4 linked regions of the Ovis aries genome follow. The protein of the gene in region 2 purifies or fractionates together with the protein of the main gene of each other region. This does not show direct contact. Links are inferred from orthologs where the notes say so. Each region holds a gene or a part of one and is shown on either strand. Other genes may lie near its edges.

The links.
Region 1: the proteins of TNIP2 (region 2) and TANK purify together in Homo sapiens (affinity purification with mass spectrometry; 3 studies listed by BioGRID and IntAct, with this or other methods). This does not show direct contact. The link is inferred for Ovis aries from reciprocal best matches to the Homo sapiens genes TNIP2 and TANK.
Region 3: the proteins of TNIP2 (region 2) and TNFAIP3 purify together in Homo sapiens (affinity purification with western blotting; 5 studies listed by BioGRID and IntAct, with this or other methods). This does not show direct contact. The link is inferred for Ovis aries from reciprocal best matches to the Homo sapiens genes TNIP2 and TNFAIP3.
Region 4: the proteins of TNIP2 (region 2) and MAP3K8 purify together in Homo sapiens (affinity purification with mass spectrometry; 3 studies listed by BioGRID and IntAct, with this or other methods). This does not show direct contact. The link is inferred for Ovis aries from reciprocal best matches to the Homo sapiens genes TNIP2 and MAP3K8.

What each region holds. Positions count from the first base shown.
Region 1 is NC_056055.1:148,618,478-148,622,737, reverse strand, and holds the start of TANK (TRAF family member-associated NF-kappa-B activator), read left to right. Parts: upstream 1-1,390; 5' UTR 1,391-2,459; coding exon 2,460-2,494; intron 2,495-4,260.
Region 2 is NC_056059.1:116,696,431-116,700,727, forward strand, and holds the start of TNIP2 (TNFAIP3-interacting protein 2), read left to right. Parts: upstream 1-1,409; 5' UTR 1,410-1,519; coding exon 1,520-1,798; intron 1,799-4,297. UniProt on the Homo sapiens protein: Inhibits NF-kappa-B activation by blocking the interaction of RIPK1 with its downstream effector NEMO/IKBKG.
Region 3 is NC_056061.1:63,031,959-63,035,707, forward strand, and holds part of TNFAIP3 (tumor necrosis factor alpha-induced protein 3), read left to right. Parts: intron 1-901; coding exon 902-1,092; intron 1,093-1,727; coding exon 1,728-1,875; intron 1,876-2,030; coding exon 2,031-2,201; intron 2,202-3,039; coding exon 3,040-3,220; intron 3,221-3,749. UniProt on the Homo sapiens protein: Ubiquitin-editing enzyme that contains both ubiquitin ligase and deubiquitinase activities.
Region 4 is NC_056066.1:34,691,273-34,695,021, forward strand, and holds part of MAP3K8 (mitogen-activated protein kinase kinase kinase 8), read left to right. Parts: exon of another isoform or gene 1-527; intron 528-1,146; coding exon 1,147-1,508; intron 1,509-3,749.

The sequences.
Region 1 (4,260 bases), on a different chromosome or scaffold from region 2:
TTGGAAATTTCATCAAGTCTGTGGATATAAAGCTATGTTCTAGAGCAGGCTCTGCAGGACAACAATATACGGTATTCAAGGTCATTTCAATCTTAGTTTTGAAATTGCTATTTTCAACACCCTTAATATGCTTGTGCTTGGTGATAAAAGTCTTTTTCAACACCACAACTCTTGTCAGATACATGCAAAAATAGTGACAGTTCTTTAAAATATTGTTTTAATTAAATAAATAGTAGGTCATCACCATGGAAGCTTTTGGAAGTGTTAACATGCATTCAGCCAAATACAGTTATACTTCAGTCAATGTGGAGAGTCCCAACCTTCAGTGTTCTCAGGGAGAGTCCATATATGTATATGCTGTGGATTTGACTGCTCTTCTCCTAAAAGGAATAGGAATGTGCTTGATGGTGGGAAGGAGCCAGGATGACATGACTGACTCCAGACAGCCCCTCTCATTTGCAGAGCATTTTGAATTTTACCATATTTGGTTTTTGTTTTTTTTTTTTGGCTTACATTATCAGTTGATCCTGCAAGCATCCATCCAGTGAAGTAGGTTATCATTGTCCTTTGCTGTCAGATTTTAGAAAATCAAGATTCATTAGATTAAGCAACTTGCCTGAGATAGTAGATATCCGAGCTAAAACTTTTCTTGAGGTATCTGTCTAAACTTTTCATCTTGGAAAATATTCAAGCATGGGTAGGAAATGGAATAATGGAGAATCCTAAGTTAGGGGAAATTTTTTTAATAGAGATCTACTTCCATGTAGCAATCACTCAACTTTAGCAAGTACTTTTAATGATAGGTGTTGCTAGTTGGGGAAAACCCAAATGGGTGTGTGTTGTGTGTATATTTGTGTGTGTGTGTGTGTGGGGGGGGTTCTTCTCAGCATGTGGAGCTTAATAACCCTAATCACATTCACATGAACATCTGCTGAAAATGAGGACTCTTGGAATTCACCCCAGTTGCTCTTAACTCTTGGAGAAGGGCATGGCAACCCACCCCAGTATTCTTGCCTGGAGAATCCCATGGACTGAGAAGCTTGATGGGCTACCATCCACTAAGTCTCAAAGAGTTGGACAAGACTGAAGAGACTTAGCTGAGCTCTTAACTCTGGGAATCTCTAAGGGTGAATCTATATCTTTAACAAGAGACCCTCCGCTGGCCTTTAAACTTGATTTCGAGTGCCTTTCCGGGTCTGTAGTTGTCCCCCTTGAGTCCGGGCAGGGCTGCGCCGGGCGGGGCAGGGCTGGGCGGGGCTTGGGTGAGGTTAGAGGGAAGTGGCGGCAGGGGCACGGTCTGGCTTGGAGGGGTGGAGGGTGAAGGGTTAAGGGATCCACGCGCAGGCGCTGCCCTCTGAACTGGAACGGAAAACAACTTCCGGTTGGAGTCACTCGGCTGGGCGCCGGGCGACTTGAGACTGGAGAGACCGGTGCGGAAACCCTGAGCTGTGAGTAAGAAACTTCGCTAGCGAGTTGCAGTGTCCGAATGCATCGGGCACGGCGACGGAGAACTTGTGTGTGTGAGCAAGAGGGATGCGCTGGCCGTATGGGCGCCACAGGGAGAGAAGCCGAGGAGCTGCAGTGACAACCAGTTCTCATGGTGGGGAGGGACTTTGTGCGAAGGAAATCACCTGGGTCCCTGTCCCGGAGCGGACCGGGAGGGGCTTTCCGGGCCCATGGCGTCTGCGCAGCAACGACGGCCCCTGCTGCGACGGCTGCCGGGGAGGGATCCTGCCCGACTCCGCGTCGGCCGCTCTCTGTGACTTGATCTCTTGGCCTGCCAACCGGGGAGGCAGGCCTGTGATGTCAGAGTGAGCAGTAGACCCCACCTGGAGGTCCCAACCCCTCTTGAGGACCGGAGGCTGCCTTCCAGAAGTTAATACTATCTTTGTTACTCTTTCAAAAACTTCCTAGGTTCTTTCTGTTGTTTTTCCCCCAAGGTTATTGCACAGTTTCTCTCTCAGCTTTCCTGCGGGGTGTCATCATAGCCTTGTCACTGAGAAGTTGGGTAACCTCCCCGAGGGTCAAGGAGAAACTGGATGGCTGAGGCAGAAAGAGCAGAAGCAAACCCTGCCCCCAGTGGGAACCGGGCGTTAGGCGGAATCCCTAGCGTGGTGTAAACTGGCTGGTGACGAGTTACACGTGTAACAAGCTGTGCTCGTCACGAAGTGAAGCAAGGAGGGGAAAGATACTCAAACCAAAGAGTCTCTGTGTCTCTTACTATGCCGTAGCAGGGAGAAGTAGAGCAGCCTTTGCTATATAAAGTGTCATGAAGTGACCCGAAAGTAGAGGAAAATAGCGTGATCTGTTTCCCTACCACGACGGGAATACACACTTCAGAGAGGGGGAGTAGAGAAGCGAGCTCTGTAGTCTGCTGAAAAAATGTTTTGTCCCTCTCATTGGGGAGGGGAAGAGAACCGAGAACCCTAAAGTGCTAACAGTCATGTTTTAAGCAGAAAATGAAACTCCTTCACGGCCCTCTCCCCAGCCACAGGTACTCCAGCGCCTTGCACATCTCTCTTATGTGTACATAAACGTGTTATTTCGCTTTCTTATGAAAATAAGATTGTATGTGCATACAGTCCTATAATTTGGTTTTTCAGATAGAATATATATAGTGGAAATCTTACCATATATAGCTCTGCTTTACCTTAATGTCAGCATGGGATTTCTTTGCCTGGGTGTTCCAAATGTAGTTAAACATCTCTTAATATGGCCTATCTATGTATTTTGCCCTTGTTCTTCACAATTATTTAATCTGTATTTCATTAGGATACAGATATATTAACCCTTTGTGATTTATATGGCGAATATTTTCAAGACCTATCAGTCTTTGGGTTAAAATGCCCAGGTTTTCACTTAAGAAGATGGTCCTCACCAAAAAATTATTAAAATATTTTCCTATATTGTTCATTAAATATTCTTACAGTTATGCTTTACTCATTTAAATGTATGAAAATTATTTTTGAATATTGTATAAGATAGGGATTTAGCCATTTTTGCTGAAATCATTTGCTGAAATCAATTCATTCCCAACTGGCTAGAAAAACTACCTTAATAGAGTAAATTTCCAGGCCTACATGAGTCTTTTTTGGATTCTTGTGTTCCTTTGTTCTATTTGCTTCTTCCTATACAATTACCAATCTCTCTTTGATTAGGCATTTTGTAGTCATTCATAAAGCAAGTCCCTCTTCAAATATCCTTGGTGATTGTGTTCTCTCTCAGGTAAAATTTAAAGTAAACTATGTATATTTCATTAAAACAGGTTTCTTTGGGGAGTTTTGTTGTTGTTGCTGTATAGTTGCTCAGTCATGTCCAACTATTTGTGACCTCATGGACTGTAACCCACCAGGCTCCTCTGTCCATGGGATTTCCCAGGCAAGAAAGCTGAAATGGGTTGCCATTTCCTTATCTTGGAAAGAGATCTTTCTAACCCAGGGAATGAACCTGATTCTCCTGCTTTGAAGGCAGATTCTTTACCACTGAGTCACCAGAGAAGCCCTTGAGGGGTTTAACTACCCACTAATATTTTGTGACTGACATGTAGATGATTTATATATCTGGCCAACTTTCTAAAATTACTGGTTTTAATAAATTGTCTCTTGAATTTTCTAGGAAAATAGTCATCTGAATATAATCTTAACTCCTTCTTTATATTTAAATCTTTCTTTTGTTTATAAATTTATAGTTTCTCCAAAACAGTGATATATAATAACAGTGATTCTGGCCATCCTTATCATATTTATTCATTTGCAGTTATTTTTATTGTGTCATCATTGAATATGAATTTTATAATAAATTTCAAATAATTTTATTTATCAAAGAAGTGTCTAATATTTCTAGCTACTGGGATTTTTGCAGGGAATAGATTTTGGATTGTGTCTGAAGTTGGGGTTTTTTTGTTTTTTCTTTCGCATTGGCTAGCACTTTGAGAGCAGTTTTGAACAGTAGATGTTGAGTTTTCATTTGGTGTATATATTTCTTGTTGATGTATTTTCATTGCTACTTTAGTACTAAACATTTTTATCAGGAGTGGAAGTTGAGTTTTGTCATATATGGCATTTTGGCATCTAATGTGATCAATCTTGTGGTTTTCTTCCTTGACCTTTTAGAATAGCAAATTGTTTTAGTAGATTTCTACCTTTGTTGTTGTTGTTGTTTTTAATTTTTATTGGAGTATAGTTGATTTATAATGTGTTAATTTCAGATGTACAGCAAAGTATATGTACATATATCCACTTTGTTTGTTTGTTTGTTTTC
Region 2 (4,297 bases):
CTGGTGGGCCACAGTCCATGGGGTAGTAAAGAGTTGGACAGGTCTGAGGGCGGAGCCTGGTGGGCTGCCGTCTATGGGGTCTCAGAGTCAGATACGACTGAAGCGACTTAGCAGCCGCAGAGCGACTGAAACTGTTTCAGTTGCATAGCCTATTAGGAGTGCCACAGACAGGAATGTCTCCGAGCCCTAACCACGCGGCCTGCGGGCGTGTGGGCACAGGCACCCTGTACTGCGTCCCCCAGTCTCCACAACACACCTGAGGGGTGGGGGCAGCCAGCCTTGACCTCTCTGCAGCGGAGGAGGTGTGAGCTGGCTACACTTATAATTCTGATTATACCAGCTTGTGAGTGTCTTCCCTGGGCTCAGCCCAAGCTCGGGTATGGATTATGTAGAGGGGGAAAAAACGCCACGCTGCTCTCAGGGGACCCAGGGACGGGGGCAGAGAAGGGTGTGCCAGGGAACCTTCGAAAGACCACAGGTGTGCTTGGGCATTACAGTGGAGGACACTCGGAGTCTGAAAAAGTAAACAGCCGTGGAGCCATGGGAAAACCCTCGGAGTCGGCCTGGGAGCCGGCAGATGGAGCGGATGGAGAAACAGGGCAGGAAAGGGCCAGCTCCCTCCTGCCTTCTACCCTAAGAGCAGTTCTTACACCTCGGAGAGGGGATGCGGGCTCTGGAATCTCGCTGGTGGGCTGGGTACCTCGCCGGGCTCAGTTCCTGGAAGGCCGCCCTTTTCCCGGTGCTCGGCGTGGCAGCCGGCCTGCAGCCCAGGGGTCCGGGCCCACGCTCGGGGCTAACACTCGGGGTCGTCTCTCTGGCCACTTCTTTTCCTTCCGTCAGGAGCGAAATAGAGGCCGTTTGACCCCTCTCCTTGTCCGCGCCTGACTCGCTGAAAGCTCCCGCGACACGAGCCGATGAGGCTGCTGGGACAGGCCAGGAACCGCGGGTGGAGCGGCCGCAGGACCCGGGCGGGTGGGGACCCTGCGTGGCCAAGGTCCGCGCGGCAGGCAGGGTCCAGATCTCCTCGGGGGCGGGGCCTGGCGGCTCGGCGAGGGCGGGACCCAGCTGCCCGCGGGGCGGGGCCTGCCGGCTCGGCGGGAGGCGGGTCAGGCTCTCCGTGGGGGCGGGGTCTTGCGGCTCGGCGAGGGCGGGGGCACGCTGTCCGTGGGGGCGGGGTCTTGCGGCTCGGCGAGGGCGGGGGCACGCCGTCTGCGGGGGGCGGGGCCAGCCTCTCGGCGGGGGCGGGAGCACGCTGTCCGCGGGGGGCGGGGCCAGCCTCTCGGCGGGGGCGGGGGCACGCTGTCCGCGGGGGGCGGGGCCAGCCTCTCGGCGGGGGCGGGAGCACGCTGTCCGCGGGGGGCGGGGCCAGCCTCTCGGCGCGGGGCGGGCCCGGGATCTCCGCGGAGGGCGGGGCGCGCCGGGAAAAGTTCCGGGAAGGTGGGCCGCCCCACTGCTCCCCCGGCCCAGACCCGGCACGGAAGTTGCCGGCGGTCCGCGCCTCCGGGACGGGTCCGCAGCCATGTCGTCCGGGGATGCGGAGTCCGGGGGGCGGGAGGGCGCCCCGAGCGCGGCTGCCGCGCTTTGCGGCCTGTACCACGAGGCGGGGCAGCGGCTGAAGCGCCTGCAAGACCAGCTGGCGGCCCGGGACGCCCTCATCGCGCGCCTCCGCGCCCGGCTCGCCGCGCTCGAGGGGGACACGGCGCCGTCGCTCGTGGACGCGCTGCTGGAGCAGGTGGCGCGCTTCCGGGAGCAGCTGCGGCAGCGGGACGGCGGCGCCGCGGAGGCCGCGCTGCGCCAGGTGCGGGGCGGCGGGGCCGGGCTTCCCGGGGGCTTCCCGGGGGCTCCCGGGGGCGCGTGTGCCCGTCGGGCGTGAGGCGTGCGTGGTCTGCCGCGGCGGAGCCGCTGCGTGTGGGGTTCTGGGCGGTGCGCGCCGCGAGGGGTGTAAGGGCTGAGCGTCGAGCCGGGCTCTGCCGTGCGTGTGCGCCTTGGCTCAGGGGCTGTGCGTGCGTGTGCTGGCTTTTGAGGCGTCTGAGCCTTGCTGCGTCTGAAGGAGTGTGTCTCGCTCCCTCAGGTTCTGAGAGGTGTGTGTGCCAGTTAGTCTGGGGGCCGTGTGACCCTGTCGGTTGGGAGGGGTTTGTCCTCTCTGACGATATGGGATGGATGTCGAGGTGGGTCTGAGGGCTGTGTGCGTGTTGGTGTGTGTGCGGCGTTACCCTGTGGGGCCTGAGGGGCGTGTCTGTCCCAGCGTCGGGTCTGAGGGGTGGTTGCGACCATGTTGGGTGCTTCGTGCTGTGTGTGTGTGTGTGTGTGTGCGTGTCATTTCTCAGGTGAGTGTGCGTTGGCTTCTGGGGGGTGTGTGTGGCTTTGCTGAGTCTGGCGGTTGTGTGTCCCGAAGGTTCTGAGGAGTGTGTGTGCCCATGTTGTGGTGTGCTTGCGCGGCGCGTGGGCTCTATGGGATCTGCGCTCCTCTTAAGGGTTGTGTGGTTCTGAGGGTTTGTACGTTCGGTTGTGCTGAGCCGTCTGCTCCCTGGTTGGCTTCTGAGGGATGTGTGTGTCTGTGTGGTTCTGAGGCTTGCCCCTGTTGGGATCCGCCCATTTTGGTCCTGAAGGGTACGTGTGTCTGTGCTGGTTTTGAGGAGTGTGTGTTTCTGTGTTGGGTTCTGGAGGATTCTGCTCGGAGAGGTTGTGTGCCTCTTAGATCTGAGGGTTGTTGCGTCGCTGCTGGCTCTCGGGTGTGTGTCAGGCTCGTTATCTGCTCCCATGTTGGGGCTGAGGACTGTGTCTCCCCGGGCTCCGTTCTGAGAGGTGTTGGTGCTCCTATCGATTCTAGAGGCTGTGTGTCTGTAGCAGCTCTGAGTGGTGTGTGTGTGGGTTTGGGGTGCTGGGTGTGTTTACCCCTACTGGGTCTGAGATGTGTGTGTGCGCCTGTGCAGAGTCTGGGGGTGTGTCTGCGCCCGTGGTGGGTTCTGAAGGGTGATGGTCCCTGGCTGTGGTGAGGGCTGTGTGCCTGTGTTGTGTCTGAGGGTTACGTGCGCCCATATGAATTCTAAGGAGTGTGTGGTTGCATTGTTTTTAATTAGCTTGTTTACAGTTTATTTTTAATCGGAGGATAATTGCTTCTGCCATAGGTCACGCGAGTCAGCCGTGGGGACACTTATGTCCCCTGCCTCCTGCCCCACCCCATCCCCCTCTCTAGGTTGTTACAGAGCGTTGAATGGGAGCTGTGTCATACAGCAGCTTCCCATCGTGAAACAGTGGCTGTCTGTCTACACACAGTGATGTCTGTGCTGCTCTGAATCCATCCCGCTCTCCTTCCCGCTTTGTGTTGGTTGTGAGGTGTATTTGTACATGCTGGTGTCTGAGCGGTGTGCCTGGAGTCTGCGGCTTGTGAGTCTGTCCTGAAGGGTTTGTTCCTATGTTGGGTTTTGATGGTTGTGTGTGTCCGTGTTGTGTCTGATGGGTGTGTGCTCATGGTGGGTCTGAGGGTTGTGTGTCCGTGTTGTGTCTGTCTCGGGAGTCTGCCTGTCTGTGTTGGGGGTGAGGGCTGTGCGTGCTGGCTCTGAAGGGCGTCTGCGTTTGCTGGGTTCTGGGTGGAGTATTCCCATATGCGTCTGAGGAGTGTGCTTGTCTCTGCTGGTTTCTGAAGCGTGTATGTCCTGTGTGGTGTGTGTGTCTGTGTGTGTGTTTTGGGTTCTGAGGGGCGTGGGCACTCGTTTGGGCTCTGGGAGGTGTATGTGTGTGTTGGATTCTGTAGGTTGTCTTGTCTGTGATGGTTCTGAGGCTTGTGCGTGTGCCGGTATTGATTCTGATGGTTGTGTACCAGCTGAATTCAGAGGGACCTGCTCCCATGTTGGGTCTGAGGGGTGCGTGCCTGTGTTGGGTCTGAGGGATGAGTGTGGGTGTTGTTTGTATCTGGATTGTGTGTGCGCGTGAGAGGCTCTGTGTGTGTGTGTGTGTTCATGTGGAGTCCTGCGCTGTGTGTGCAGGCACCGGGCTGGGTGTGTGTGTAGCGCGTGGCTGTAGGCTCCTCGTGTGTGGGGGCTGTGTTGGGTTCAGGGCCATGTGGACCCTAATGTCCTGGGTCTCTTTTAGCCCTAGTTGTGAATGTATCTTTCAGTAGTAACACCTCTGCTCTGCAGGGAGTGATGACAGAGTGGGAAGCTGCCGGAGTGTCTAAAAGCCGACTTAAATCCTTACTTTCCTGCTTTCTTATCCTTGCCATTGATATTATGTCTGTCTGCATGAAATATCATTAAATACTCAAATCAGGAGCAAGAGCAATAGTATTTCCCACAAC
Region 3 (3,749 bases), on a different chromosome or scaffold from region 2:
AGAGTTCTTAAAGTGCCAGCCGTAAACACTGAATCAATTTTCAAATGTAGACATCTAGACACTCTTTAACTCTGAAAAGGGACTCTAATTGCTAACAGGCGGGTTCACACAAGGCATTTATGGGAGGTAGGGGTGAGCAGGCTAGTAGGTAATTCCGTCTCAATCCCATTTTATAAATCAGGAGAGGAAACTCCCAGGCCCTGCTTGCTGTGGTGGGCTGGTCAAGTCATTTACCCCTGAGTCATGGCCAGACGGTCCCTGTCTAGTAAGCGGAGCCAGACCAGCTTCCTGGTTTGAGCATGTTGCTCTGGGTGTTCTCTCTCAGGGTCAGAGAGCAATAGGACCAGCATCTGAGCCAGAAGATCAAGGCTTGTTAGAAAGGAAGGGACTTCAGAGATCATAATCCAATACCCTCATCTCACAAAGAGGAAAAATACTCAGAGGTTAAAAAATTCCCCACTGAGGGCAGAACCAGACTGGAGTCAAGGTCTCCAGACTCTCAGTCCTTGGTTCCTTGGGCTTTGTTAGAAGCATTCATTAAACAGAAGAGTTACAAGAAAGATTTTTTATTTTTCCCTTAAAGCTGTCATCACCTAGTGAAATGTTACCAGCTGGTCCTTTGACAGGGAGGTGGGAAGAGGATTCAGGATTGGGAACACATGTACACCCATGTCGGATTCATGTTGATGTATGGCAAAACCAATTCAATATTGTAAAGTAATTAGCCTCCAATTAAAATAAATAAATTTAAATTAAAAAAAAGAAAGAAACTAAACCTTTGGCGTTTCTCACAAGCACTACTGGGTCCCCACTTACGGTAGCAGAGAGGCTGGTTTATTCTGGAAACCTCTGCTAGGCCTTAGATTCGGATTGCTAGAATTTGCTTCCCTTCTGTCCTCAGGTGACGGAAACTGCCTCATGCACGCGGCTTCTCAGTACATGTGGGGTGTTCAGGACACAGACTTGGTCCTGAGGAAGGTGCTCTTCAGCACCCTCAAGGAGACGGACACGCGCAACTTTAAATTCCGCTGGCAGCTGGAGTCTCTTAAGTCTCAGGAATTCGTGGAAACTGGGCTTTGCTACGACACCCGGGTATGTTGGGGTTCCTCCTCAAACATTTATTGACAGAGCTCCATGGTGGGAAAACTGCATCTCCAGCCAGTCCCTGCTGTCAGGGAGCATATGGTTTGCTGGGTCACGTGAACTTGGCTAAGCAGAGTCAATGGAAAACACCAGAAACCTCCCATGGGATGAACCCAAGGCCCTTGTCACTGCTGGGAGGCTCCCAGGCAGCATCTTCCCAGCTGGAGAGTCATTCTAGAATGATCTTTCTGATCACAGGTTTCCCTGTGGCATTTTGGCTGTTTGGGGAGTTTGATGACCCTTGCTTGCTTTACTGAGCCCGTCAGTCAGATTCAGAGGGCACCTCCCCATCTTCGGCCACAAGGCTGGGACTCTGTGCACAAGGAGCTCGGCGTGGTGTTTCAGCAGGGATTTTTCTGAAAGCAGGTGCTGTCCCCCTGCTCCTCTGCTTCTGAGTTTGCCTTGTAATGGGAAAAAGTAAAGGAAGAAAACCAGAATTGGGGGGAAAATGGGTGATAATTTGAGTGATGATCTTAAGAAAGGGTAAAAGTAAGCTCAGTGATACCAGTGAATAATTATAGAGTGGAGCCAAAGTTGTTTTTTAATGCAGAATGCATTCAATAGTTTCTTTCCTCTCCCCTTAGAATTGGACCGATGAATGGGACAACCTCGTCAAGATGGCATCCGCAGACACACCTGCAGCCCGAGGTGGACTGCAGTATCATTCACTGGAAGAAATACACATATTTGTCCTTTGCAACATCCTCAGAAGGCCAATCATTGTCATTTCAGGTGAGATGCCTGCTGATGGCGTCTCTGTATTTAGGTGCCTTTCAGCTTTAATCCCTTACCTCTTAGCATGACCCAAGTTCCAAGCATCCATAGCTAAATGGACTCCCATGAAAGTCTCAGAGGGCCTTATCTTTTCTTTCTCTTTCCTTAAACAGACAAAATGCTGAGAAGTTTGGAATCAGGTTCCAATTTTGCTCCTCTGAAGGTGGGTGGGATTTACCTGCCTCTGCACTGGCCTGCCCAGGAATGCTACAGATACCCCATTGTGCTCGGCTATGACAGCCAACACTTTGTACCCCTGGTGACCATGAAGGACAGTGGACCTGGTGAGAAAACCAAGCATCTATTCACATTTGTAACTGCTTCTGAATCCTGCTACACCCTGTTCTTACTGAACGTCAGGGTTTGCTCTTTGGCTCCTTTTTGAAAGCCTCATTTAAGTATATTAGTTTTATTTAAATATAGTATTCTGTAATTTGTTTGATTAGCAACAATAATGCACTCACACTAATCATAATGCCCCCCCCATCCCCTCTTGTTTTGTGTGTCGTTTGGGACCGACTTTGAGCATGTTAGTGGCAAATAGGAGATAATGTCTATTACTGCCACCATTTCTTAATTAACCCGTAATACAGTGCCTGGCCTGGGGCAAGTAAATGTCTGGCAGGCTAGCTATTACTGTACTAGCTTAATGTGGAACTAATAGGGTACTTTATAAATGCTTTAGGTACAATATTTTATTTCATTTCATCTTCACAGCATCCATGTGGATGCTATAAGCACTGATAGCCTTACTGTACAGATGAGGCACCTGAAGCTCAGAGAAGTTAAGTAACTTCCCTAATATCACAGAGCTGGATAGTGGCAGAGTCAGAATCTGAACTCAGGTCAGTCTGAATCTGAAGTGCAGTAATTTAACCAGTAAGACCCGCTGCTTGGAGGCTGCTTTATATTCTGTGAACTTCCTGGAAACAGTATATTTTATATTAGAGTTTAGCACAGTTTGTTTCCCCATTTGATTTTGTGGCTAGATAATACTTTTCCATTCTGTAATTGTATCCTTTCTGCATTTTCAAAATGCAGTCGTTATATATATATATGACCTCACACAAAATCTTGTTTAGTAGAATCATTTTGCTTACGTGCTATTTCTTTTTCCCTCAGAAATCCGAGCTGTTCCACTTGTTAACAGAGAGCGAGGACGATTTGAAGACTTAAAAGTTCACTTTTTGACAGTTCCTGAAAACGAGATGAAGGAAAATCTCCTGAAAGAGTACTTGATGGTGGTAGAAATCCCCGTTCAGGGCTGGGACCATGGCACCACCCATTTAATTAATGCTGCAAAGTAAGCAGTTTGTTTTTGGCTCTTTCCTGTGTCATCTTTAAGCTGCTTCTGCCTCAGAGACCAATAGTAAAGTTATTTGAAGCCAGTTTCCTCCAACGTGAAACAAATTTAGGGGCTTGTGTGTGTCAGAGACAATCAGCTTAAGTGGCACTGACTTTGGTTTTCAAATGAAAACAAGGAATTTTTCCAGAGGCTTGTCCTGTGTATCTGGATGCTTGGAAGCCAGCACGGTGGCTTCAAAAAGTGCGTTCACATCAAGGATACTTTTTTTTCTTTTAATTGCCCTAGTGCTAGACTAACAAGTGAAAATTCTTAGAAACAAAAGCCTCATTCTCCTGGCTTCTGGGTAAGGCAGACACATCACATGCAGGCTGGGCTGTAGAATGTGTTTCTGTAGCAGCCACATGAGTTGGCCACGTGGATCAGGGAGGAGAGACCCAGAGTGCGGGTTTATAGGTATCAAGATTGTAAACACTGGCTTGATGATAAAGAGATGCCTGTTTCCTAGAACTTGAAGTGCACAACACCG
Region 4 (3,749 bases), on a different chromosome or scaffold from region 2:
TGGGATGGGATTATTCCAAAATCCTGGGTTACAGCCTCACTGTTTACCCTTCATTTCTCTTCATTTTCACATTTACAGATCCCCAAGTATGGCTCCTGATGTGTCTGAAAAACTGAAGTACAGTTTTGGCTAAGCAGACTTAGTTGACCTTGTCTGTGTCTTGCTTATGATAGATTTGGCTGCCCTGGCCTCTTACCACAACTTCTAAGGAGTCATTGATCTAGATGTTAAATGAACCCTCTTGAGTCTGTGAGATGCATGCTTTGTCCTGTTAAAGAGTTCTGGTCACAGGAGGGGACGGCTGATTACAGGTTAAAAGAATCTTCTCCTTTCTCATAGCCATGCTCAGCAGAAGGAGGATTAGAGGTTTGCTGTCTTCCTTCTAAGTGAGCTGTTTAATTTATTTGCATCAGAATTATTCCTGAAACTTGATTTACCATCACCAAATTTGCTTAGATTACAATCCATTTGAGATGCTTCTGGCTTCAAGACCTGAATTTGATTTGCAAAGCTAGCTCCTGAATTTGGTAAAGGAATTTCTTTTTTTTTTTTTTAAGTGTATTTCTATTTTTATTGTATGTATTTATTTATCTTTGGCTACACCATGTGGCTTGAGGAATCTTCATTCCCTGACCTGGGATTGAACCTGGGATCCTGTGGTGAAAGGGCTGAGTCTTAACCACTGGACTGTCAGGGAATTCCAAGAGAGTTTCTTTTCTTTTTAAATTCACCCAAGGCCTAAAAGTCACAGAGATCATGCAGAAAGGGTTGCCCCTTTTGGGAGAGCAGCAGGTTGGAAACTGTCAAGAACCAGGTGCTTCAGCTCCTGCTCCTCAAATTCACACTTGGGTTTAGTGAATGTTTATTTTCAGAGGCTACAGCTGATGCCAGCAATTCAGTGAGTAAGTGGGTAGCTAGTGAGTTCACTGGATCTCAGGTTTCCTCTCTGTAAAGTCAGCGCCAGATTAAAGGTTATCTCAGGTCCCTTCTTCACTGTCTGTGCACTTGACCTCACACACCCTGTGGCTGAAGCCCCTATTTTATGAACAAAAGCACATAGAAGCCTGTACCTAGTCAGTCTTGTCAGTTTCCTATTGATCGCAAATACAAACACAGTAAAGTAAGTAGTCGCGCTTTCTTCTGCAGACTCCTTGGAGGGCCCAACAGTGATGGAGTTCATGAGCACCGGGAGTGACAACAAAGAAGAACTCGATTTATTAATGAAACATTTGAATGTGTCCGATGTGATAGACATTATGGAAAATCTTTATGCAAGTGAAGAGCCAGCGGTTTATGAACCCAGTCTGCTGACCATGTGTCAGGACAGCAACCACAACGAGGAGGAGCGGTCTGAGTCTCTGCTGCTCAGTGGGCAGGAGGGGCCCTGGTTGTCCTCAGTCAGATATGGGACCGTGGAGGACTTGCTTGCTTTTGCAAACCACATATCCAACACTGCGAAGCGTTTATACAGATGCCGACCTCAAGAATCTGGAATTTTGTTAAATATGGTATGTTTTTTCCTCATCAGTTGAGTGCTATGTGTTCAGCTTCCTACTCCTGCTACATTTAACGCTGAGTGGGATTTGAATGTTGTTCAGACTGGCTGCCAGGTACGGTTTCTAAAGATGGAATATCTGTAAGAATGACCTCCATGTGAAAGATGCAAAAAATACAGCCTTCATTAAAAGTTTTGTTTAAAGAATCTTATCCATTACTTTAGAAGTAGTTCTACAGATAGGTAATTAAGAAGAATGAATTTTAATTTCATGATTCACTAAAGAGCTCACTTGTCAAGTCAAAGAGAAAGGCTTTGAGACTCATGTGAGAGGGAAATAAAGACTTTGTCTTTATATATATATAATATAGTATAGTTTATAATTTTATATAAGTTACAGGTGTACAATATAATGATTGGCAATTTTTGACGGTTATGCTCCATGTATAATATTTTAAAATACTGGCTATATTTCCTATGTTACACAGTATATCCTTATAGGTTATTTTACACATAATAGTTTGCACCTCTGAGTCCTCTGCCCTCTTCCTTTCCCTCTGCCCATTGTTAACCATTAGTTTATTTTCTATGAGTCTGTTTCTTTTTTTAATATTTATTAATTTGTTTTATTTTTTAGATTCCACATATAAGTGATATCATACAGTGTTTGTGTTTGTCTGCCTTAATTTCACTTAGCATAATACCCTCCAAGTCCATCCATGTTGTTGCAAATGGCAAAATTCCATTCTTGTTTATGACTGAGTAGTATTCCATTGTGTGTGTGTGTGTGTGTGTGTGTGTGTGTGTGTGTGTACACCACATCTTCTTTATCCATTCGTGTGTTGACAGATGGTTAGATTGCTTCCATTTCTTGGCAGTTGTAAATAATGCTGCTGAGAACACTGGGATACATGTGTCTGACTGAATTATTGTTTCCATTTTTTCAGATATATACCCAAGAGTAGAATTGCTTGGGAATGTGGTGGTTCTCTTTTACGGTTTTTGAGAAACCTCCATCCTGTTTTCCGTAGTGGCTGCACCAATTTGCATTCCCACCAACAGTGTAGGAGGATTCCCTTATCTTCACATCCTCATCAGCATTCGGCATGTGTGTTCTTTTCAATGATAACCATTCTTACAGGTGTGAGGTGATATCTCACTGTAGTCTTGATTTGCATTTCCCAGTGATTAGAGATGTTGAGCATTTTTTCCTGTGCTTATTGGCCATTTACATATCCTCTTGGGGAAATGTCAGTTAAGGTCTTCTGCCCATTTTTTAATCGGGTTGTTATTTTTTTGATGTTGAAGAACTGTAGGAACTATTTGTATATTTTGAATATTCACTCTTTCCTTATTGGTAGTATCATTTGAAAATATTTTCTCCTGTTCAGTAGGTTGTCTTTGTGTTTTGTCCTTGGTTTCCTTTGCTGTGCAAAAGTTTTTAGTTTTAATTAGGCCCTGTTTGTTTATTCTTGCTTTTATTTCCTTTGCTTTAGGAGACAGATCCAAAAAATATTGCTATAATTTATGTCAAAGAATGTTCTGTTTAATTAACAATTTTGAAGTCTGAATTTTTGTGCTCCTCTTTTGTTACATCTTGAAACATCATAGTATTAATACTGGGTAAATTCAGTTCTTGTAGAAATGTAGTTTGTGGGCAGTAAGTAGTTATCCAGAGATGCTCTCTCTTTAATTGGTGAGGTATAAATAACAAGGGATATATTTGTTTAGTTATCCTAAGTATGCAAATAATCCAAAATATTGTGACAACACTTAGTTGCCACGATAGAAGATCAGGTGATGTATTGGGGTGTGGTTAGTCTCTTAGTGTGTCAAAGGTGAATGTAGGTGCTGGCTAAAGGTGATCTAATTTTTGGAAAAGAACAATTCTCAAAGGAGTGGGTGGGAACTTGCAAAACATGCTTAACTGATGATGAAAGCACCTCAGTTTCCTTTGGTGCATATAAATGGAGAGATGGTTAATATATGGAGGGTGGTGCTGAACAAGTAGAGTCTGTACCAAGTACTTAATTATTATTATTTTGTGTACCGCATTTGTTCACTTCAAAACAACACAGTGATTTAGGTCAGCTATGTAGTGAATTGTTTTGTTAGAAGCCAGCTGTGTTCACCTATAGATGAATTGCCAGCAAGATTGCAAAATCACGTTTTACAAAAAAAAGTAAAGGTTACGTTTTGCATTGTGTATGACTTGCTTTGATCTGGATATGCCAAACTGTATTTGATACTTTGT